3 separate regions of the Mus musculus genome follow, and regions 1 and 2 are each reported to be linked to region 3. Evidence: microRNA targets listed by miRTarBase, many of them from high-throughput screens and not tested one by one. Region 3 holds a microRNA gene; each other region holds the end of a gene's coding sequence.

Region 1 (7,832 bases), not on the chromosome of region 3:
CAACATTACACAAATAGGAAGTCTTCACTGAAACAAAGCAGAAATATATAACATTTTTATTTTCTGACAGGGTCTCACTATGTAACCTCCGCTGATCTGGAACTTGCTGTGTAGACCAGAGATCTATTCTGCTCTGACTGGTCTGGATCTAGCCAGTGCTCTGTATCATTTTAGTGGTGATTAAATGCATAGCTTTGGAAAGGTGGGCACTCCTATGATTCCCTCTCCAGTGATTGGTGGCATCTGTGCTTGTTATGTGCATGTAAGGACTTAATGGGTGTGAACAATTTTACTTATGTTTTAAACTTTACAGAGAAGTCACAGAGCCAGTGCAGAGTTCCTGCATACTCACTTCCCTTCCCTTGATGAGACAGGCTGACTCTATGACAGGCTTCAAACTGGCAGTTCAAGAGATTAGGCCTGAAAACCCAGGCTTGAGGCAGCTAGTCAGAAACTGCCGTCTGTCACCTGGCCTGAAGCAAGGACAATGGGTCGGCAACAGTTTCCGGCTCCCATGCCCCATAATGGTTTTGGAATGTCTCTAAGAGATAGAACAAGATAAGATCACCTATTCCAGAATTCCCATAATATGCCTTCAAGCTCAATCGGGTGTTTATCTTGGTAATGGGAGACCCCAGCATGCTGGACTTCTGCAGCATAAAACACTTTTTGTGTTTACATACTATTTGACTCCAGGGTACCTTACACCCTACCATTACTTTAGGGCTGTGCATTTGTGCCATCTGAAGAAAAAACATGGCACAGTGCTAGTTAGTGCTATACAGAATGCTGGTTAGGCTTTTGTGAACTTGACACAGCTGGAGTCATCTGGGAAGAGGGAACCTCCAGAGAGAAGATGCCCCCTTGAGTTTGGCCTATAGGCCAGTCTGTAGGGGCAGTTTTATGACTGATAATTAATGAAGACCCAGCCCATTGTGGTGTCACCCCTGAACAGGTGGCCCTCTGGGTTGTATAAAAATGCAAGCTAAGCCAGTCATGGAAAGCAAGCTAGAAAAGCGGCCTTCTTCTGTGGGTTCTGCTTTATTACTTAAAAAAAAAAATGATTTATTTTATGTATAGACACACCAGAAGAGGGCATCAGATCCCATTGCAGATGGTTGTGAGCCACCATGTGGTTGCTGGGAATTGAACTCAGGACCTCTGGAAGAACAGTCAGTGCTCTTAACTACTGAGCCATCTCTTCAGCCTGAGTTTTTCAGTCCTTGAAGAAAATGTTTTCAATTGGGCTTCTATGGTGTATTTCTCCTAATTAGCCTGGCTTTATCCCATTGCACCTGGGGTCCAGACGGCTTCACAGTGACACCATTGATGCTAATGTGGCATCTGCCAGGTCTTTCCAAGGAAAGTTATTCCTGTCCCTTTCCACAAGCTCATCCTTAGAAAGATGTCACCAAGGTGAGCCTACCTGCAAAGGGAAAAGGAAGCAGCATGACAAATGCTGCTTCCGGGGTGGCTTAAATGGCAGACATCTCCCAAGGGCTCCGCATGCGCACTTGTTCCGCAGATGGTGGCACTCTCTGGAGGAATACTGGGGAACTTTGCTCACTGGGACCTATTTTGAGAGTTTATAGCCTTACCCCCCTTCCAGTTAGCTTTCCAGGCTTCCTGAATGATAAACTGTGACCAGCCAGCTTCCTGATCTGGCAGCCTGATGTCATAGCCTTCCTGCCATCATGGACTTTGCCCCTGGAACGGTAAGCCAAAACAAAACAAAATCAACAACAAAAAAACAATATAAGAAACAAACAAGCCGGGCGTGGTGGCGCACGCCTTTGATCCCAGCACTCTGGAGGCAGGGGCAGGTGGATTTCTGAGTTCAGTTTGAGGCCAGCCTGGTGTACAAAGTGAGTTCCAGGACAGCCAGAGCTACACAGAGAAACCCTGTCTGGAAAAAAAACCAAAAAAAAAAAAAAAAAAAAAAAAGGAAACAAAACAAAACCAAACCAAAAACTGGGCAGTGGTAGTATACATCTTTGATCCCAGCTCTTGAGAGGTAGAGGCAGGCAAATCTCTGTAAATTCGAGGCTAGCCTGGTGTACAGAAAGAGCAAGTTCCAGGACAGCCAGGGCTACTCAGAGAAACCCTGTCTTCAAAACAAAACAAAACAAAACAAACAAGAAAACAGAGCCCTAAACAAAAAACAAACAAACAAAAAAGCCCTCTTTCTTTCAACACAGGAGCAGAAAGTAACTTACACAGTTCCTAGAGGGTAAAGCAGCCACATGAATTATCTGACATTCTTCTGTAAAGATTCATCTTTTCTCCCATATTTATTCAATCGTTATTTACATCGACATCAACTCCCAGGAATTTACTTTGGGTTAGAACTAACACTATGGTGCTTACTCTGTGGCTGTGAGGAAGCTCTTCCCGGAAGTCCCCTGGCTATGGAAATACCACCTTCTTTTCATTTCTTTGAGAGTTTCTTTCTTTCTTTTTTTTTTAAAGATTTATTTATTATTATATGTAAGTACACTGTAGCTGTCTTCAGACACACCAGAAGAGGGAGTCAGATCTTGTTACAGATGGTTGTGAGCCACCATGTGGTTGCTGGGATTTGAACTCTGGACCTTCGGAAGAGCAGCCATCTCACCAGCCCCCGAGAGTTTCTTTCTTAAACAAAAAGAAATTCCCCTTCAAGTCCTAGTATGTCAATGTGACATTTTAGTGCCATTGTTTCAACATGGCTGTTTAAAGGGCGCATATGTGCTTTTATTATTTTCAATTTATAAACCAATAAAAAAATCCTTTTAGTTTCCTCAATTACATAGTATTCACCAGATGCATGCAGAAGACCATAAGAAAAGCTGACTGTGGGCTGGAGAGGTGGCTCAGCAGGTAAGAGGATTTGCTGCAGCAGGTAGAGGACCCTTCTGAGCACGTTCATGGCTGCAAATAATCTTGTGTAACTCCAGTTCCAGAGTTACATGATTTTCTTATGGCTTTTGTGCATGGAAGCAAACATTTATATTATCTAGAATTGATTTTTAATTTTTTTTTTATTTTTTGGTTTTTTGAGACAGGGTTTCTCTGTGTAGCCCTGGCTGTCTTGGAACTCACTCTGTAGACCAGGCTGGCCTCGAACTCAGAAATCCGCCTGCCTCTGCCTCCCGAGTGCTGGGATTAAAGGCATGCGCCACCACTGCCCGGTGGCACTGAATCTTCTTGAACCTTAAGCTTCCTGTCTGTAGAATGGACACTGTTTTTTTGTTTTTGTATTTTTTTTGACAGGCTCCTGTGAGAAGTTAACAAGCTAACCTAGAACAGCTTAAGAACAAGGGACTCTGGGGGCCAAGGAAATGATGGCTCAACAGTGAAGGGCATTTACTGTTCTTGCACAGGTTCTGGGTTCGGTTTCTAGCATTCATATGATGACTCACACCGGTCTGACTCCTGCCTCAGGGGAATCCACCACTCTCTGTTCTGGCTTCCACAGGCACTGCATGAATATGATGCGCACACATACCCACCTAATATTAAAAACAAATCAATCTTTATGACGATCAAGGACTGGCAATGGACAGGCTCGATGTAAATCCTGGCCTGTCACTTTGATAAAGGAGACCGTGGGAACACTCATCAGGAATTAAACATTATTAGAGCTTGGCTAAAATCACTGCTAATAAGTTGTTCTTCTTTCAAAACTGTAAGCACTCCTGCTGACGGGGCAATTTGACTTCTCAATCACCAGCTGCTGGACTTACCCACTGTTGGCTGCTTTGAGCAAGCGGGCTGTCAAAAGCCAGCCAGCTATCTGTATGACATCACTGTTTGGAACACTGTGTGAACACCTTGAAACGACACAACTGCAGCTCCCCAAGGCACAGCCTCTGCCAGGCCTAAGTCAGCTTCTACTAGATGTTTGCTAGCACAACGTCAGTGAATCCTAGATGACCTTGCAACCATTTTCAAGGAAGGAGAGTTTGTCTGATAGCTTAGCAGTGACTGCGATGCTAGTGTTCAGACAAGGCTGTGATTGGTGCAAACACAATTCTTCATTTACATATAAGTTTTTCTCAAAGTGGCACAAACACCCTTCCTTAGCCTTCATAGGCTGTTGAGCTCACTTTGTCAGCTAGGAGATAACCTCTTTTTTTTTTTAAATTTATTTATTTATTGTATTTACTATATGTAAGTACACTGTAGCTGTCTTCAGACACTCCAGAAGAGGCATCCAATTTCGTTAAGGATGGTTGTGAGCCACCATATGGTTGCTGGGATTTGAACTCAGGACCTTTGGAAGAGCAGTCACACTCTTAACCCCTGAGCCATCTCACCAGCCCCAGGAGATAACCTCTTGTGCTGCCTCCCCAATAAAAGATTCTCTCCAGTAGTGTTTCCTTGCCATTTTTTAAAAAGATTTATTTTATTTATGAGTACACTGTAACTGTTTTCAGTCACACCAGAAGGCAGCATCAGATCCCATTACAGATGGTTGTGAGCCACCATGTGGTTGCTGGGATTTGAACTCAGGACCTCTGGAAGAGCAGTCGGTGCTCTTACCCGAGGAGCCACCTCTCCAGCCCTCCTTTCCTATTTCTAGCTTACTTCTTAGTTGTGAGGCTAAGATGGCAATATAAAGCCAGGAGAGTGGCAGCAACAGCAGACAGTGGAGTGGCAGGCAGAGCTGGAAAATGGCTGTGTGGCTGGCTGTTGTGACAACCGAAGAGGCAGAGATAAAGGAGAGAAGGCTGTAAAGAGCTGGAAATGAAAACCAGCAGGCCCTTGTCACTGGAGGTTTCAGAGAGCTTCTGTGATTTTTACAAGTCTCAGACACCCCGAGACCTGTACGATTTAACACTGGCAAGGCGAAGGAATAATAACTTCCCAAGTCTATACAACAGCTATAATACTTGTAATGAGGTCTACCCAATAACTTAGTATTTTAGAGCAAAGGGTGGGGTTACTAGAGGCTTCCACAAGATCTATAATGCTTAATTAAGGGTCTAGCATCCTAGGCCCCTAGAGCTATAACACTAGGTGGCACTCTTCTCCACCTGTCTGTTGCCACCACTGCCAAATGTTATGGGATATATATATATATATATGCGTCAAAGACCAGCACCTAAAGATCTCTGAGCCTATGATCTACCCAGAATAAAAAGACCTGGAGCCAGGGGCTAGCCACATTACTACCTGTAAAACCACAGACAAGTTATTTTTCTGTGCCTCATCTTATTCATAAAATGGGAGGTGGGAAGAGACAGCTTCTTCTTCAGCTAGTACTTAGTCGCTGGCCAAGGATACATCCAATGTCAGCCATTAATACTGAGTCTGAATAAACCTTCAAAGCAGGGATTATCCTGTCGAGTTTACCCCCTCAGCTTAGGGTCTCACATACAGAAGAGGCGTGGCATTTATTAATGCTTGTGTGTCTATACAAAATGTAAAGTTTCTCACCGAGGCAGCAAATGAGTGACCTGCAGGACAGTGCATAATGTATCTTAAGCCACTATACAAACATGAGCAGAATCACAGCTCTCAAGAGTCCACATGCCATTCTGCAGTGGAGAACATAAGGAAACTTTCCATGTATTCCTAACTCAGAGTAATCTATCACACTCCCAAGACTACATGTACACACGGTGACAGTCTGGCCTTGATTCTTTGTGTAGTTCCCTCCCTTAGTAGAGAGAACAGCAGCTTTGCAAGAACCAGAACAGCTCTCATTACTGCCTGCTTCGTCTTGGGCATACATCCATTTCCCAGGTGATCTTAGTTTCCCTGTATGTAGTTTTCTCTTTGGAGGTAGGGCCTCCCTCTGTAGTTCTGGCTGGCCTTGAGAGGCCAGTCTTCCTGACTTTGGCTTTACTTGTTAAGCACTGGGGTTATAGGTGTGTAGCACCAGGGTTGGAAAAACACAAACCTTCATCTTCCCTTTCTCCCTCAAAATTCAATATTGATGGGCCTACTACTCGCCACAATCTGTTTATAGTCTGGTTCCTGTCAAACAAGCAAGTTCCTATCCCCTAGGTGCCAAGAGTTCAAAGAACTAAGTCTGTAATTTCAGTGGCTTTCAGATTCACACTATAAAAACTTTTGTTCAGCCTAGTGTAGTTGTGCAGGCCTTTAATTCCAGCACTCAGGAGGCACATTTCTGAGTTTGAGACTACCCTGGGTCTATAGAGTGGGTTCCAGCACAGCTAAAGCTGCACAGAGAAACTGTCTTAAAAACAAAGCCAAAAAATTATTTTCCTTCAAATGTAGTATTACAATGTATACAAAGATCAAATATTTTATTATCATTTCTTTATTACTCCAAGAAAATGATATTTAGAAGCAGACGTTTTGGCAACATATCAGATAGTCACAAACCTAAAACTAGTTGTAGAACTGACCACAGCATTCAGTTGTGCTTTTTGATTGCACAGAATCGATAACTGATTTTAATAAAAGAAACTAAATATCTTAACCAGCCTTGGCTCAGGGTCTTCAGCATAAATGTGGGCAACACCTGAAAACTATTGATAACTGATAGCACCATCACATATGACTATTAAACATGCATATAAACTTTTGACTTGCTGGGACACTGTACTAGCAGAATGGTCTTTTGATTTAAATAATTATCAGTGTAGAATGACATCATTTTTATCAGTAAAACATTGGGGAGACATTCAGTAAACAACACGACAAAGGGCGAGTTACTTTGGCAGCATAAAGAGTGGATGGGCTGATCTCTGCAATGAGCTCTTCCATCTTGTTCTGCTCATGACAGCCTTGGGTCTTGGGTCAAGTGCAATAGCCTTCTAATTCGGCCTGAAGGAGGACCTCTTCTTCTTCGGCCTCCTTATCTTTTATCAGTGTCAGCAACTGCAGTAAGCCTGGGGCTGGGCTACCCTCCGGCAGCCCAAGCTCTCTTCGAACTGATTTGTGGACTGCCCCAGCAATGACTTGGTCTAGACGGGCCTGATTCACAACTTCTTTCTCAATTGCTCCTTTCTGAACCAGTTTCTGCAATAAAGGCTCCAACCTTAGAACATAGGCAGACAGCTTTTCATCAGTCTTCTGATAAGTAGTAAGGTATTTGACCTGCAATGCTCTAGGATTATCAATAATCCCAAATATTGTCTCAAGCGTCTTCAGGCATTCTGCAACTGTAATGAAGGGGTTGTTTATCTTGAGGACTCGAATAATTTCAAATGCTGGACCTCTAAGGCTCTCTATCAACCGCCTTCTTTTCTCTACATCTGACACCTGCCATGTTTTCATTACTTGGGAAGTATGAAACATCCAAGATTCAAATTCTTCCTCACCTGGTCCTGGAGGATCCCTGCCTGAGAACACACTCAGCTTTTTGTACCTCAGATACTGCAGGGTAGGCTTAAGGGCCTCATTTAATGCCTGTGCTAACATGGGTGCTCGAATTTCAGGGATCATTATGCCCGGGTCTAGGCCGAGAGGGTCATTCCGATTCCCAAGAACTCTGGTTAATTCACCCATCGTCATGCCCTCCCCCTTTAAAAACTCATTTAATCTGCACAAAAAGTCACTATCAGTATCAGGAGGCTTAAAGATCACTCTCCAGACACCTCCTTTTGCAGGTATTTCCTTGGGGACCAGGGCACTGCCAGTCTCTACTGTAAGCCCAATCAGGGCTACATTCTTGTTCTCATCCCTCCTGAACATCCTCCCAAGCAGTCTGTGTTCCCCTAAGGGAGCAAGGCCAGCCTGCAGGGCCTCCTCTATGTCTGCCACTCCGCAGGTCGGAGGGATGCCGGCAACCAATAGTGCTTTCCGAGGATTCATATCCATCCCTCTGCACCAGTCTTCTAGAAGTCTCAGTGTCATGGTGCTCAGAGTATTTAAAT
Region 2 (7,832 bases), not on the chromosome of region 3:
TGTATTTCTTCAGTTGCCAGAAAGACTGGTGATGTAGGATCAAGGAGAAAGGCTACAGTTGAGTTTCTGAGCAGGCAAGGGGAGTTCAGAGGCTGACGCCTTCAGTGTGTCTCTGGGGAGAGAGTGGATTGCACTGAGCCCTGACACGCAGTCAGGGGTGAGTTCTCTGACAGTGGCCTTGGATGCCCACTGGGAAAGATATCTCAGCTAGGTGACAGGCCAGGGGCTGGTTTGAATGCGCTGGGTTTCCTCTGCTTCCCAAAAGCAGATTCTAATTCCATCCTGATCAATGGGAAAGAGAAGAGTATTTCATGTGGGGACTGGCCTGAGCAAGTGCATTCATTCAAACTGATTACCAAAGGGCGGGAGGCTGTAATGAGCTAGGTGAAGCGGGGAGGTGGGACTGGGAAGATGCCATCGGTACAAAGCAGATTGTGGGCTTCTCTCACCTGTGGTCCATCTAGGGATCTGAGGCGGTCTGTATTCTGCCAACTTCCAGATTGGGTAAGTGCTAAACACTGAAATTAGAACCATGTTTAAGACCTTAGTTTTAGCTCTAGATCTGACCGTCAGAGAGAATTCTAATAAATAGGAAAATGTCTACAATTCGTTGCCTTGCTTTGCTCCACCTCAGACTATTGGATAAGCCTGGTAGAAGGAATGCATACTTCTGGAGGGTGGAGAGTTTCTTGAGTTCCTGGCAGCAGACTCTGGACTCAACACGGATAACATGGGACAGGGGGCTTCCTCCTCTGACCACATCCCCTCATGCTGGTTTCTGCATGCCGTTCTGTGTCCCTAGAGGTCAACAGTCTGGGAAGTTGGCACGACAGAGCTGGATGTGACCCTCAGGAGAGAATGGTGCTGGACTCGGGGACACAGGTGTATGAGCAGGCACCCCCCAGGCCCCCTGCCGGTTCCCCATCTCAGCACCATAAGCTGAAGCCCTCAAACGGAAATGGGCCACCCCTGTACCCCTGGCCTGAGTCCCTGGGGATGCCCTTGGCTCTGGCAGTCCCTTCAGCACTGCAGCAGCAGACTATGTGGCAGACCTTCTCAAAGCTGCACTTGGAGCAGAGTAGCCACATGCGTCGCAGCGAGAGCACCTACAGTGTAAATAGTACTGGCCGGCGGGGGCGTGGTAAAGCCCCGATTGGACGGGGATGCGATCCAGGAGGGACCCTACGGCCTGCAGCCTCCTTACCTCACATTGCTAAGATTCGAAAGGATGTAGGCAGTAGTAGCAGCAAGAGCCCCTGTATGTTGGTGGCCCTGCGGCCAACTAACATGGACCAGGAACGGGAAAAGTTCTTCCAGTCTCATTATACCTACAATCCACAGTTCGAGTATCAGGAACCGATGCCAATGAGTGTGCTGGAGAAGTACCAGGAGGCCTCTGCGCAATTCATGAATCAGGTCAGCTCCCCCTGCCCATTTCACCCTGGCCCTGACTACCCAAGGGACCTAGCCTGACTAGTGACTGTGGCCCTGTGTACAGGCAGTTGGCATCATTGAGGCTGTCCTGGAGAAGTTTGGCACTTATGAAAACTTTGAGGCTGCCACAGGGGGCCAGCTGCTGACCAAGTGCCAAATTTGGTCCACCGTGCGCAAATACATGCAGAAGGAAGGCTGTGTTGGGGAGGTAAGTTTGCCCTATCTACAAGACCCATCCTCTGTGTGCCCCAAATCAGGTCACCTAGCTCATAGACCCCTACACGTCTGGCCAGCTCTAATTCCCCAGACATGTCCCTGCCCCAGTCCCAGAGAAGTAAAAGCCAGCTTTGAAGGGTGGGTACCCTAGCCAGCGCCCGGCCTGTAGCACTGGGTGTCAGGGCTTGGAAACCGTGACTCAGGGATCCCTGTCACCCTGTAGATTGTGGTACAGCTGAGTGAAGATCTACTGTCCCAGGCTGTGATGATGGTGGAGAACAGCCGACCCACACTGGCCATCAACTTGACTGGAGCCCGCCAGTACTGGTTGGAGGGCATGCTGCGGCACGAGATAGGTCAGGCTGTGGGTGGCCTTTGGGTGGGTGGGTAGGATTGAAAGGTATGGAGAGATGGGGGTAGGGTAGTGGGGGGTCTCAGTAGTCCCCTTCTTTCTCCCCCTTCCTTCCCTCTGGAAGAAGACAGGCTTATTCATCCCTAAGCAGACACCTCTTCCTTTGCATTAGCAAACATGCCTGCCCACTCTGTAGGCTGACCTTCATCTTCTTTTTTTGAGACTATCTCCAATTCTTCTTCTTCTTCTTCTTCTTCTTCTTCTTCTTCTTCTTCTTCTTCTTCTTCTTCTTCTTCTTCTTCTTCTTCCTCTTCCTCTTCCTCTTCCTCTTCTTCTTCTTCTTCCTCCCCCTCCCCCTCCTCCCCCTCCCCCTCCTCCCCCTCCTCCCCCTCCTCTCCCTCCCCTCTCCCCCCTCCCCCCTCCCCCTCTCCCTCTCCTTTTTCTTAAGATTTACTTATTTTATATATGTGAGTACACTGTAGCTGTCTTCAGACACACTAGACAAGTGCATCGGATCCCATTACAGATGATTGTGAGCCACCATGTGCTTGCTGGGAATTGGACTCAGGACCTCTGGAAGAGCAGTCAGTGCTCTAAACCGCTGAGCCATCTCTCCAGCCCCTATCTCCCAATTCTTTTCTGATTTTCCTTTGACAGTGAAGGAGTTCTAAGGGGCCAAAAAAAGAATCCTGTGGGCTTCCACTAGACCAGCCCACCAGTTCCACCTGGGTGGGTGGCAGACTAGAGCCTAGAAATGGTATTGCTTGCAGATGCATAGATAAAAGAAGACAGACCAGGCTAGGAAGGCAAGCACAAGACACTAGTTACTCTGTCCTCCCCAGACAGGAATCTTGTTGCTCTGGGCAAAAAGTGGTTTTTGATTGGAGCATTTGAATGACTGTCAAGATGATTGGCTCGGGCATTAGGATGTTGGGAAGCGGGCAGGTGCTTAGTATCTGTGAGGGCTGGGGCACACAGAATGAACTGGGACGAAGGAGATGAGAACGTAAGTAGAGAAGAGCTTGCCCTGAACCAAGAAGTTGTCTGGAGTAGGCTGCGAATGGATTTAGGTAGGGCTTGGGATGACTTGTAGGGTGTGAATTTTGGGGCGGGGCACGAGGATCTAAGAGTCTCTACTAGAGGTCCTTGGAGTGAGTTCTCCGCCCCCTCCTCCTCCTCCTCCCTGCAGGCACCCACTACCTGCGTGGTGTGAATAATTCGCGGCAACCGTGGCACAGCACTGAAGGCAGATTGCAGTACGGCCTTCAGCCAGCCAACCCTACTGAGGAGGGCCTGGCTAGCCTGCATAGTGTGCTGTTTCGAAAGCAACCATTCCTGTGGCGCGCCGCCCTGCTCTACTACACCATCCACCAGGCGGCGCACATGTCCTTCCGCCAGCTCTTCCAGGATCTGGCGCAGTACGTGCAGGACGAGGGTGTACGCTGGGAGTACTGCGTCCGTGCCAAGCGAGGACAGACGGATACCTCCCAGCCAGGTGGGAACTGTGGAGTCGCAAGAATGCTCAAGCTGGCGCAAGGTGAAGGGTGGCTTTTGGGTAAGGCTCGATTGGTTATCCTTCTCACAGGCTGCTTCAGCAAGGACCAGGTGTACCTGGATGGCATTTTGCGCATCCTACGGCACCGGCACACCATTGATTTCCAGCTGCTGACCTCGCTGGGCAAGGTAAAGGGCCGAAAGGCCCAGCCAGCTCTTTCTTCTTTAGAGTTATGTTTGGTGAAGGCCTCGACACTTGGGAAGGCAGACAAAATGAGACAAAGTTTTGGTAGCACAGATCAGGTGTGTGACCTAGCCTGCAGATGTGTACATAGGTGTTAAGGGAGGTGAGCACTCCAAGGCAGGGAGAGGTCAAGAAGTTCTGGGGAAGAAGGTGGGAGAAATGGCCAGGGACCAAAGCCCAGGTCTTGTACCAGGTTGAGGCAAACCTCGATAGAAGCAAAGGGGGGGGGGGAGTATCGTAAATGTGTGGGCATGGATTTTCTTTAAAAGGCTCCAACTGAATGTTCTGTGGGAAGTGCAGGAAATGGAAGACCTAGATAGGCAAGAGAAGGAGGTCTTCCATCACTCTTACAGAATTGATAATGGCAAAGCTATAAACTACAGATAAAAGAACTGTTGGACTCCCTGAATGGGGAAATGAGAACCTAGTCGGCCTTTCTTGGACCTGATTGTGGTGACTATGCAGAGGGGAGGACAGACAGCTGACATTCAACAGTCTCCTGTTGGATGTGGGAGATAACCCGAGAGAGAGACCCAGGTATCAGTTGGATACCATTTAGAGGTGAGGAGATAAGGTGGGCTGGAGAGGAATGGGTTGTACAACGTAGATAAAAGATAGAGAGAGAAAGATAGAAGATCCAGGGCAGAGCCTGAAGGTATCTATTGTAGGAGTCGATGAAGAATATACACAATCATCTCAGGAGCAAATGGCCCTGAGCCATGGGTAGATCCTGGACTTGAAAGCCAGGCACTTTGATTAGCTCTGAGGCTCAGTTTGCTTCCTATAGGTCTCCTATGAAGACGTGGAACAACTGCGGCCCTACGGGGTGCTAGACAATACCAGAGTGCCCCACTTCATGAAGGACTTGGAACGTTACCGGCAGCAGCTGGAACACATCATGACCACCAACCGGCTGGATGAAGCGGAGCTGGGCCGCCTGCTGCCTGACTGATGTTGACTAAGGGTTATAGACAGACGCTCTTGACAGAGGTCACAGATCGGAATATGAAGTTCTTTATGGTTCCATAGCCTAGGTGTTTCTTGGGGGCATTTGGGAGGCCAGGAGCATCGTGGGCAGATGAGAAGCAACGTTAGAAGGTTTTTGTCCTTGCTACCCTTCCTGGGGCCTGTGAACTGCAGCAGCATGTCACATAAACTCCTGAGCAGGGGAGATGGGAGGGCGATGAGATGGGAGCTGAGTGTGAATAGAAATGTGGGTTGGTTTGGGAATAGAAACTTGTTCCTGCATGAGATGGCTTTGGGTGTCTGGTACCACTCCTTCCCTTCCCCCTACCTGGCCGATTGGTGCTCCTTCTACACTCATACCTCTACCTCTCACTGGGGCCAGCAGGAGTTGGGAACCCCTCTGAGGTGATTTGCCTGAGCATGGGGTTCCGGCTGTCACTCAGGCTCAGAGACCCAGCTGGGCTGGGCTTTGCCTTTCAGCATTCTGTCTGTCTCACTGGTCATGCATTGTTCCATAGTCGCCCTCATGGGGTCATTTCATGCCTCCAGGCGGGGCCCGGAAGTAGTAGTAGTAGTAGTAGTAGTAGTAGTAGTAGTAGTAGTAGTAGTTCCATGTAGGGGCAGGATCCTTTGGAAAAGTACCGTATGTTCCTAGACCCCTTCCTTCCTTCCTTCCTTCCTTCCTTCTTTCCTTCCTTCCTTCCTTCCTTCCTTCCTTCCTTCCTTCCTTCCCTCTCCCTCTCTCCCTCTTCCTTCCTTCCTTCCTCCCTCTCTCCCTCTTCCTTCCTTCCTTCCTTCCTTCCTTCCTTCCTTCCTTCCTCCCTCCCTCCCTCTCCCTCTCTCTCTCTCTCTTCCTTCCTTCCTTCCTTCCTTCCTTCCTTCCTTCCTTCTTTTCTTTCAAAGACTTATTTATTTTATGTATACGAGTACACTGTAGCTGTCTTCAGACACACTAGAAGAGGGCATCAGATTCCATTACAGATGGTTGTGAGCCGCCATGTGGTTGCTGGGAGTAGAACTCAGGACCTCTGGGAAAGCAGTCAGTGCTCTTAACCACTGAGCCATCTCTCCAGCCCCCTAGACCCCCTTTCTTATCACTCACACAGACACACTGTGTCTTGTGTCTTGTGAGTCCAGCACCTGGTCCCACCCTCAGTCCCCATGTTAGTCTTGGTTGTGCCTGTCTTTAACCACAGCCTCACAGCTGGTCTCTGGCAGTGGTTAGGACAGGCGGGAGCAACCACAATCAAACCTACAGGGCAGGCCCTAGGGTTTGTTATCCCACGTTCAGGCCAGGATTAGTACAGAGCTGGTTAAGGCTTTCATTTCACTTCAGATTCAGCGGTGGGAGAGTGAGCTAGTACTGTCCTAACCCTGGCTTTTCAGTTAATGTTTCCATCTGTGAAGCTTGGAAACACAGCTGGGAAGTTTGTATTCATTTACTTAGTAGATATGTGCAGAGCTCCTTGTGTATGTCTGTGACTGGTTAGACCCCACGCCCCTCACTGAGCTCCCAGTTCAGAGGAAAGCCAGACAATTAAACAGCAGTTACAATGATGTGTGTGGCTTCTGTCTACTCAAGTTTCCTCTCAGGTCCTCCCTGCAAGACTGTGAGCGCCAAGACTTCTCTCCATGTGTGGATGGACATCCCCCTTCACTTGCTTGGTACACCAAGCCGAGTGATTTCCATGGATTAGAAGTGTTGCCCACTCGGCCTCCCAAATGGCCCCTGAGGGGAATAAAGTGGGTGAGGGAGGGTCAGATTTGGGGGCCTGCATCTGAGATCTCCAGAATTACAGCTTGGGCTCTTTGGGAAGTGGAATGTTTTTGAGGGGATGGGGGTATTTTCACACAAGCCTGCTCAGGTCAGTGGGATTCAGACCCACGCTCACCCTCAGTTCTTGAGCAAAGAGCCAGACTTGTGGAGAGTCAGGAACAGACTGACCCTCCTGAGTTTATTCATTTGGCAGTAGGTGTCTCGGTGCATCGATGGGGTCAAGCTCTGGCAGGTTTCCAGGTCTTATCCAGCACAAATAGGATTGGACAGCTAAGGATTCTGGCCTTCAGGAATCTGGAGATGAAAATGATGGTTAGTGGAATAGGGATCAACCCCCCCCCCCCACACACACACACTTTGCAGTCCACAACCCGTAACAAGCCTGCAAGCAAGGGTTTAGGCGCTCTCACAACCTTCAGATTCATCCTCTTCTTGGAAGTCGGGCTCGGGTTCGGGTTCCGGCTCGGGCTCGGGTTCTGGCTCGGGCTCGGGTTCCGGCTCGGGCTCGGGTTCGGGTTCTGGCTCGGGCTCCGGCTCCGGCTCTTGTTCTGGATTCATTTCTTGTTCCAGGTCTGGCTCATCCCCTTCAGTAGCTTCAGCTTCTAGTTCTGGCTCCTCTGGAGTTCGAGGCTGCAGTGCCTCAGAGCCCTCAGGACCTCCGACCTCCTCTTGCTCTGACGCTCTTGGCAGCTCAGGACATGTGGTCCCTGAACTGGGTGCTTCTGGCGTCCAGTGGCCTGGGCATGAAGGGTCATAGCTGCGGTTCCGGTAGCCTGGGAAGGAAGAGGGAGTACTTGAGGTTCAGTTCACCCCTCTGTGGTTACCTCCAAATTCTCTGCCCTCCATTTACCCTTTGCTTCGCCCTGCCCCTAATCCACGCCCTTCGATTCATCAAGGCTCCACCCTCTTGGTGCTCACCGGGCCCCACGTGCTGCCAATCCCAGGCCGGGTCTGGCATGCGCACTGTTTGCTGGGCACAGCGCAGTAGCTCCTGGCAGGCTGCCTCGCCCTTGCTCTGCACCAACAGCAGTAGGCGGCGCACCCTGCGCTCTGCATCGGGCAGCGCATCCAAGGCTTCGTACTCGGGCCCAGTGAGGACGCCCCGGGCCACCAGCGCATCCAGCAGCAGCCCAGAGTCAGCCTGCAATGTCTCTACCAGCCGTTTCCGTTCCCGGTCAATGGTCTCTGATGGGCGCTCCTGCACGTTGCCCATTTCTGCTGTGTCAAGAAGGAGAGAAGGGGGCGGGGCGTAATTTGCGTTACTCTACGCTGACCAGGAGTTATCTAAGTTCACCTCAACATCAGAGTCTGGATGGTTGCTCAGCGCAAGACCTAGAGGCCAGGGGCCC
Region 3 (7,832 bases):
ACATACTCTAACTTTTGTCTTATCCCCAAGTAATATCTTGAAATAATTGCAGAGAGAATCTAATTCATTGGCTATATTTTACAAGACACACCACAACAGATCTTAGCCATGCATCTCAAAAGCTTCAGGTGTTGATCTTGCTTTGTCTTACCTACCAGTCAGAGAGCACTAGAAGACAACAGGCCTGCCATATATACAGTGCTAGCCTTTTGGTAAAACCATGCATAACATTTTGTTAACCCTGATTCATTCCTCCATAGCCAAGAAGTTCTTCACCCTGCCAAATCCACAGCTTTCTTGGATGCTAGCATGGGCCAGTTCCCTTCAGCTGGTCTTCCCAGCTGGACTTTGATTAGGAATTCAGTAATACTCAATCATGCTACAGTAATTTCTCGTGACTCATCCTTCTAATGACACATCAGAAGGGATGAGCCTCTGGTAAAAAGCCTTGGAGTATTTACTTTAACATGCTTATCCTTACTGATCCTGTAAGTAATCTACCCACATCCCAAAGTTAACATTCCCATCTTTTTGGCATCATCTGGCAGTGCTACCTTTTCATTTTCAGGGAGAAAAGGAATGACAGTATATTGTTCCATGGTTTTGAACAGGCTCAGAAGGAAAGAAATCTACAGCTCATGGCAAAGAGGTATAGGGAAACTGCAGGCAGAAGATTGCAGTCCCTGTCAATATGACATAAGCAAGGTATATTTGAAGGTTCAAATTAGGGACAGAGGTGTGGCAAGTAGAAAAAAAATGCCTAAAGATATAAAAGAATGTTCCATCACTTTTTTGCATGTCAGACAGCCCAAGAAACAGCTTTGTCTTTGGAAGCTAAATTTCTGCCTCAAATATTTTTGCTTAATTCCAAAATGCTTGTTCTACATATCAAACCTCATGTATGGTTCAAAGAGTATAGCAGCATGACTGGAGAGATTCCCTATGAAACATCAAGGACTGTGAAGATGAAGGTCCAGGTCTTTCATTCTGAGTTCAAGATGAAACACAAAACCTTCAAAATGTAAAGTTGGGTTGCCTGAACAATAACATAATGTTCAGTAGTGAGCCAGTGTTTATATTCTACTCGAAGCTGTTAAACCCACACTTGTACTTGTGGGGGTGGAGCATCTCCTGTAATCCAAGCATTGGCAGAATCTGAGGAGTAAAGGTAAAAAGATCAGCAGTACACAGAGATGTTGAAAAATCTGTCTAATCATACCTTTAAGAAATATAGCAAAGAACTTCTGTATTTGTCTTTCTGACAAGGCCTCCTCTTTTTAGACTTCCCTTACCTGCTGCATTGTATGATACAATCCTTCCACTATGTCTCCCACTATGGGTATTTTTGTTGTCCCTCTTCATTTCTTCTATTATTTTTATTTTCTGGACCAATATGTTATTCCTAAGGCACAGTAACAAAGCACTTAAGCTATGCCTGCCTATACAAGACACTCCAAAAACATCCATTCCTTTTACTTGCAACTTAGTGAATGTTATCTACAGTCTTTATCTTCCTATTGTCATACCCAATGCTGACTGTTCAATGGGTAGGAGACACTGAAGTGAATAAGCATATGTTTTCCCAAGGACAGCTAATTTCAAATAGCCTACCTAAATTTTCAGAAGATATATTCTAATTTTTGGTTAGAAAATATGGTCACCATAAGTGTAAGGCATTCTTGAAAATTACACAGTACATAGATCATTGCAATTCAGTTTGAAAGGCAAAATGGACTTAAGTGAATAGAAGCATTAAAAGAAGATACACCAGAGAGGACCAAAACAACTAGATGGACTTTGACAGACAGAAATGCGTTGGGCCTTGGGAAATGGGTCATGTCTGAATACAGTAGGGATGAGACTGGGGTTGAGTGTCATCATCTAACCAAACTGAGGACCATTTAAAATATTGCTCAGCTGTATATTACTATATCAGCCAATGTATACCAGTACAGATGCTGAAATCAATTGTCAAAAGACTTTGTCCATACTTTTGATATTTCTTGATCCAAAGCCCGCATAGCCAGCTCATTTCTTGGCTTCATCTGAGTGGGCTGCCAGGATGGTCCATTTCCACTAGTCAAATAGAAGTCAAGGGAATCCACTTAACTGTCTACATGCAAAGAAACCCAACCAGTGGCTTGATATGATCATAACACTCAAGGCCAAAACTCATTCAAAACTCATTCAACATTTTGTTTTCATTTCTAAATTGATTTAAGAAAAGATACAACCCACAGCTATGCTGATATAAACCAGTAGGCAGATCATTTCAAAATAGTAAATGAAAATAGATAACTATAAATAGTAATCAAGTATACATATTAAATAATGACTATGCAAACATCAACATATTAACATATAAGTGAACAGGGTAAGGTAAAAAATCATGACAGTAAGGTTGATAGATATTATTGTTTCTTTCCCATGACTTATGGAATTAGAATATCAAAATTTGTTTGGAAGTGAGGTTGGAGAAAGGCAATGAAGCTTTAGTTAAAGCTTTTGTAAAGGAGTAAGAAAGTTTAGGGCTTTGGCTCACCTAAGAAGTACAATTGCCTTTGCTCCTAATTATTGATTTTTTTATTTCTAATGCCTCTTAAAATTAGCATGTCTAAAACCCTGCATCACCAAAGTACTATCAAATAATGCAGATACCCTTGGGAACTATGGAAATCAAGTAGTAGTGCTATTATCAGAATTATTAACACCTAGACACATTAACAAATAAATAAGTAGAATTGATTACAAAAACAAATGTCATGATCCAGAGATGTTCTAGGAATGTACAGTTAGCTTCTTGAAGGCTTCCTATGTATTTCAGGAATCTTGCTAGCTGAATATATGTTACAGGCATTGTGAACAATTTCTAGGAATGACTTACCAACATTATACACATTGCCTAGGAATTGTTTACAATTCCTGATTTAACATTCCGCTGCAAGAGAAATAACCAGTTAACTTAAATTTGATCATACACTGGCTTCAAAGCAGAAGGCAGCATTTCTGCAGGCCTGCCATGTAATGGGAAGATTGACTTTTACATAAAACTTAGACAATGGCTAAGTAGCTGGGCTGTTCACGTTGAAGAGTCACATGCAGAAGACAATGCATCAACTGACTGAAGAAAAATGCCAAGGAAAATTCCTTTCATTATTTTTAAAGTGAATTAATTTTACAGCAATCACAAATCCAAACATATAATGCATAAATATTTCAAAAATGAATTAAAATATGTAAGTCTACATTTCTTTCTTTGCACTATTTTTGAACAAATTGCCTACTAGCTATTTTTATTTTTAAATAGATTAGGATCTGTACACTCAAGATATGTACTGAACTGTCTGAAGCAGTCCCCCTGAAAATGTGTTCTGATGTTGCCATTGTTCAGAATAGTTTTAAAATGCTGCTTTGAGAACTAACTGCCTTCCGAGCCAGTTTATGAGTGAGACAGTAACAAAATCACATTGTTTTCTTATCACATTTTAAAACTTAGCTATACAGCATAGTAACTACACAATTTGATTCAACCAGGTTCATCAAAGAAATCAAAAATCCAGCCACATTGTTCCTAAAGCCCTGTCCCAGGCCACCCCGAGAACCTTTACTTAGGCTGGATGCGAGACAGTCTTTCATTCTCCACCCAAGCACCCTAAAGTCATGTCCAGTTTTTGAAAAGTACTGGCTAACATTTGTTTCAAAAATCTAGACTAAACTTTTCCAGTGAACTTTCATGATACACTGTGTTTGTCCAGATGAGGCAGCTAGACTGTAAGCTTCATGACAGCAGTTCACTGCCTTATTCCTAGCACCTATAGCCATGTTTTGGATGTTGTCATTGCTTAACAATATCTGTTGAATGGTAAATGGATGGTTGTAGGGGAGGTGATGATGGATGTATGGATAGATGGATAAAGTTCACTAAAGAGTTATTACAGATATATCTTGGGATATTGTTCTGTAATAGAGTACTTGCCTAGCATATACAAGTTCCTGGGGTCATATCTCCAACATAATAAAATAGATACCACGACAAAGTTGATGGTTATATAGAAAGTTTCCCTTCTAGGAGTGAGCCCAGGATATCACTGTTGGTCAGTAGCTAAAAATGATTCTGGTGGTGGTTATAGCATACACCTGGATTGTGAGCTGGTTCGCTGATAAGAATTAGAAGTTATTGCCTTGCCTGTTTTGGACCAGTTGCTCATACACATTCCAGTCACAGACTATCCTCTTATACAGGTCAACTTGCCAGCAAACAAGTGCCACGGGGTTTTACTTTCAAGAGGATCCAGTGATCCATTATCTAAAGTGATTTCAACTAGGTTATACAGCAAACTAATGAAGGATAGTAGAGCTTTGGTCTGAGATGAGGAAAATAAACTACAAGAACTCTGTACTGTTCTCATTCTTTTCCTTTCAATCCAGAATTATAATCCTGTGATCTTCTTTCTCAGCATGCTTACCTTCTCTATAAGCTAGAAAAACAAAGCTGAGGCCCTCTCCAGCTCATCATCTAACTTGGCAATAGATCCTGTTTCCTGTCTTAGTGGCAGCAGTGGCAGCAGTGCTAATAGTATAAAAGTAGTAGTAATAATAAACATTAAAGCTCTGCTGGTGATAGAGTTGATAGTGGTGCTATACTTGCTGAGTGCTCAATACATGGTATACACTCTCTTTAAATGCAGTTTTTAGTTCTCTTGACAAAACAATAGAGTTAGCCCTGTTGCTATTAGTTTTGTAGTTTAACAAAGTGAGACTATGATAGGTTAACACACAAAGCCAGTCAGGGGTCAAAGCCTTTGCCTGCCTTACTTTTGTGCCAGAGAGTGAATCACAATAGCATGTTGCCTCTTGGTATTATGTTCTGCCCTCTGACACATCCTCCCATGGCGGACAATAAAGATGTAAAAGAAAGTTAAACATACACCCTCGTTCAAACCTTAAAGTGATTTGGTCCTGCCTTATTGTATTTGATAATAGTAGCTGCAAAGCAACCCATTCCTAGAGCCCTAACATCTGTTTTAAGACCTTGAGCGGGTATGTTTTTCTGGAATATCCCTTCAGAAATGTTTTTTTGAACATTTGTTCAAACAAGCTAAAGTCTGGACACCCTCTGATGCCTTTCTCAATTGGTTATGCGCCAAGTACGACATGATCTTCTGCATGTGGTTTGAGTTAGGTGGAAGTGTTGCACATGCCTGGGATACTGGGCAAGCCCACTAGAGCTGCCCCTAGACACAGACAAGCCTGACTCCAGCAGACTCACTGAGAAGATGGCAGAGCTGTAGTGACTGGGATGGGAACACCAGTTGGACAGGTCACCCCATAACCCTCATTAAGCTAGACCATTTGTATTCTAAGTATTCTTTCCCCCTTTGCCTGCATATTTAATTGTGTTTGGGATGGGTTCCAAAATACCTAGTGAACTTCCCAAGCCTTATGACTTGAGAGTTTCAGGAGCTCTGAGCCTGAAGCAAGCACTAGGCTAGTTGCTACAGTCTGGCTTTCCTGTTGCAAACCACATGAGCTCTACCTGCTGTGCCATGAGATCATGAGGGAATTGATCAATGCCTCCTCGTGCACATAACTGGTAGGGACTATAATCCCAGACAGTTTTACAACTTTGGCAGGATGGAGGTACACACTGAGGATAGATTGAATGTCACCTCTTGGCCTGGGTTTGTGGAAGATGGCTGAAGAGCCCATCCGCAAAGCTGCCACATGGCCAAGTCCATGTGAGTGATGGAAACACAGCTATGGGAAGAGTCCAAGGCCAGTAATGAGGGAGAAGACACTCAAACCTACGGGGAATCCCTGAGTCCCCAACATCTGTGAGAAAGATCAGATGAGGCTCTGGGGTAAAAAACAAAAGAAAGCACTTAGCAGTTCTAAGTGTTCACAGAAAGAAATGAAGAATACAAGTCTGCCATGGGCATGGGAGAACTCAGGTGTCAGACCTGCTTGAACATTCAAGTTCAGAGGTACAGTATTTCCTTAAGCCAGTATGAGCTCCTGAAATTGCCTCCAAATATTCTTGAAAAACAACCCCTTCTTCCCTCCTTTTAAAGTAAGATGCATATGTACTGCTGAAAACTAACATCATCTCTCCATACACTTAGCCTAGCAACTGGGAGAAAAGAATGCTAGTGGTTACATGGGATTCTGTGTTTTAATTGACTAGGGTAGATAAAGTTTGGAGAAAACAAACCAGGTAAGGGTTAATCACAGCGTTTGCAATGAGAAGTCATGGAGGCCTAATAAAAAGTACAGAAGTGCAATATGGGTGAAGGATTGGTATCATGAGTTAGCAACCCACTAGATTTATCAGGGCAATGGAGAAAAAATGTAAATGCCATTTTTATCATTTATAGTGATAAGAGGAAAATAGTAATGCCAGTAACATGAACAGTGAATTCAGGAAAAGAACAGATCTTAGGAGAAGAAAATATGTTTCAAATGCCAGACTCAGCATTAGAATACACATTTTAAAATTATTTTCTGGCCTGGGAGAGAGGTCAGGGCTAGACACAAATGTTCAGGCAGACACAGCTTGCCTGTTCCTTTACTTAAGTCCAAACCTGCTGGTCCCCCACTCACTATCAGCAGAGGCTACACCAAACAATGGATATTTGAAATTCCTGCCTTCCTGCTTCCACTGCTAATTTCTCCTGCTGCCCAGTTTCTTCTGCCCTCTACCTCCAGAATGTTATAGCAAAAGAACCTACTGGGTTCTTCATCCATCGCAATCACAATACATGTAATACCTATCTAGAAGAATGACTCTTTTATATTCCCAAACACATGTCAGATGGGAATAATAAATGATCCCAACAGATTATATTAATCAGTTTCCATTTCCTTGAACATTTATTACACAGACAGAAAACTTGTCACATATGAGAACAACCTTGAAAGAAGATAAGGCGAGTGGTACAGAGTTATGGTGACCATATTTCCTTAAACAAAAATTTGACACTGGTCCCTGTTAAAAAACAAAACAAAACAAAAACAAAACAAAAAAAACCCAAAAAACAAAAAACTTGGTGATGCCCTCGCTGGTTGAATGAACAATTTAGGAGATATAACTGAAACAATGAAAATTGTGTTTCCCAAGACATTTCAACTGTTCCCCAGGAACAATAGGACAAAATACTTATAGTGGGAAATACCGATAAATGCCAATAACATTGTATACTTTGTGGTTTTGTACTTTAAATGTTTTTTTTTCTTTTAGTCTTTTCATACTCTATAACTTCCAGTCTAAATATAATAGTCTTGCCATTTGCTCCTTCCTTAGACAACTTGAGGGTCCAAAAATACTGAAGGTCAGTGTGAGAGAGTACCTCAAAGATAAACTGAACTTTTTCTTTGTTTTTAAGACAGTATCTTATATATCCCAGGATGTCCCAAAACTTAAAATGTAGCTGATGATGACCTTGAACCTCTGATTCTCTTGCCATTACCACCTAAGATCTAGGATTACAGACAAGCATATTACCACCATGCCTTGTTTATATAGCACTGGGGTTTGGACCTAGAGCTTTGTGCAATTTAGGTAAGAAGTCTACCAACTGGGTTACAGTCCCAGCCTCAAACCATTCTTGATTTTTTTTTTTTTTGAGACAAGGTCTCACTATGTATTCCGGACTGGCCTGAAACTCACTATATAGACTAGCCTCAACTGATACCTGCCTCTGCCTACTGAGTGTTACGATTAAGGGTGTGAACCACCACATCTGGCCTCCAACCCGTTTTTTAAAGATGTAAAGAAACTGAGATTCAAAACCTAGAAATGGCTTACCCAAGGTCATACATGAAGTCAAGGGCAG

The links. The annotated mature microRNA mmu-miR-384-3p reads AUUCCUAGAAAUUGUUCACAAU and lies in region 3 at 2,856-2,877, opposite strand. An mRNA with a match to its seed (bases 2 to 7 or 8) in the 3' UTR can be bound and repressed. Matches are read on the target gene's strand: a 7mer-m8 pairs with bases 2 to 8, a 7mer-A1 pairs with bases 2 to 7 and ends in A, and an 8mer does both.
Region 1: the mRNA of Moap1 is a reported target of mmu-miR-384-3p. Seed matches in the 3' UTR shown: 7mer-A1 at 4,551-4,557.
Region 2: miRTarBase lists Nol3 as a target of mmu-miR-384-3p. Seed matches in the 3' UTR shown: 7mer-m8 at 5,355-5,361.

Annotation. Positions count from the first base shown.
Region 1 is chr12:102,735,477-102,743,308 of GRCm38, forward strand. Moap1 (modulator of apoptosis 1) reads right to left here. Exons shown (of 2, transcript NM_001142937.2): 2 at 4,354-7,832. The coding sequence starts at 7,812. The coding sequence ends at 6,754. It overlaps Gm20604 (predicted gene 20604), which reads right to left. Exons shown (of 2, transcript NM_001142939.1): 2 at 4,354-7,832. Among named protein-coding and RNA genes, the nearest start is that of Moap1, 4.3 kb to the right of the region's middle.
Region 2 is chr8:105,278,840-105,286,671 of GRCm38, reverse strand. Nol3 (nucleolar protein 3 (apoptosis repressor with CARD domain)) reads right to left here. Exons shown (of 4, transcript NM_030152.4): 2 at 7,402-7,698; 3 at 6,897-7,256; 4 at 4,733-6,777. The coding sequence starts at 7,696. The coding sequence ends at 6,770. 4931428F04Rik (RIKEN cDNA 4931428F04 gene) reads left to right here. Exons shown (of 8, transcript NM_028888.2): 3 at 803-1,416; 4 at 1,499-1,642; 5 at 1,874-2,006; 6 at 3,192-3,497; 7 at 3,588-3,685; 8 at 4,528-6,263. The coding sequence starts at 859. The coding sequence ends at 4,692. Among named protein-coding and RNA genes, the nearest start is that of Nol3, 6.3 kb to the right of the region's middle.
Region 3 is chrX:105,341,437-105,349,268 of GRCm38, forward strand. It overlaps Mir384 (microRNA 384), which reads right to left and starts at 2,933; the gene lies at 2,846-2,933.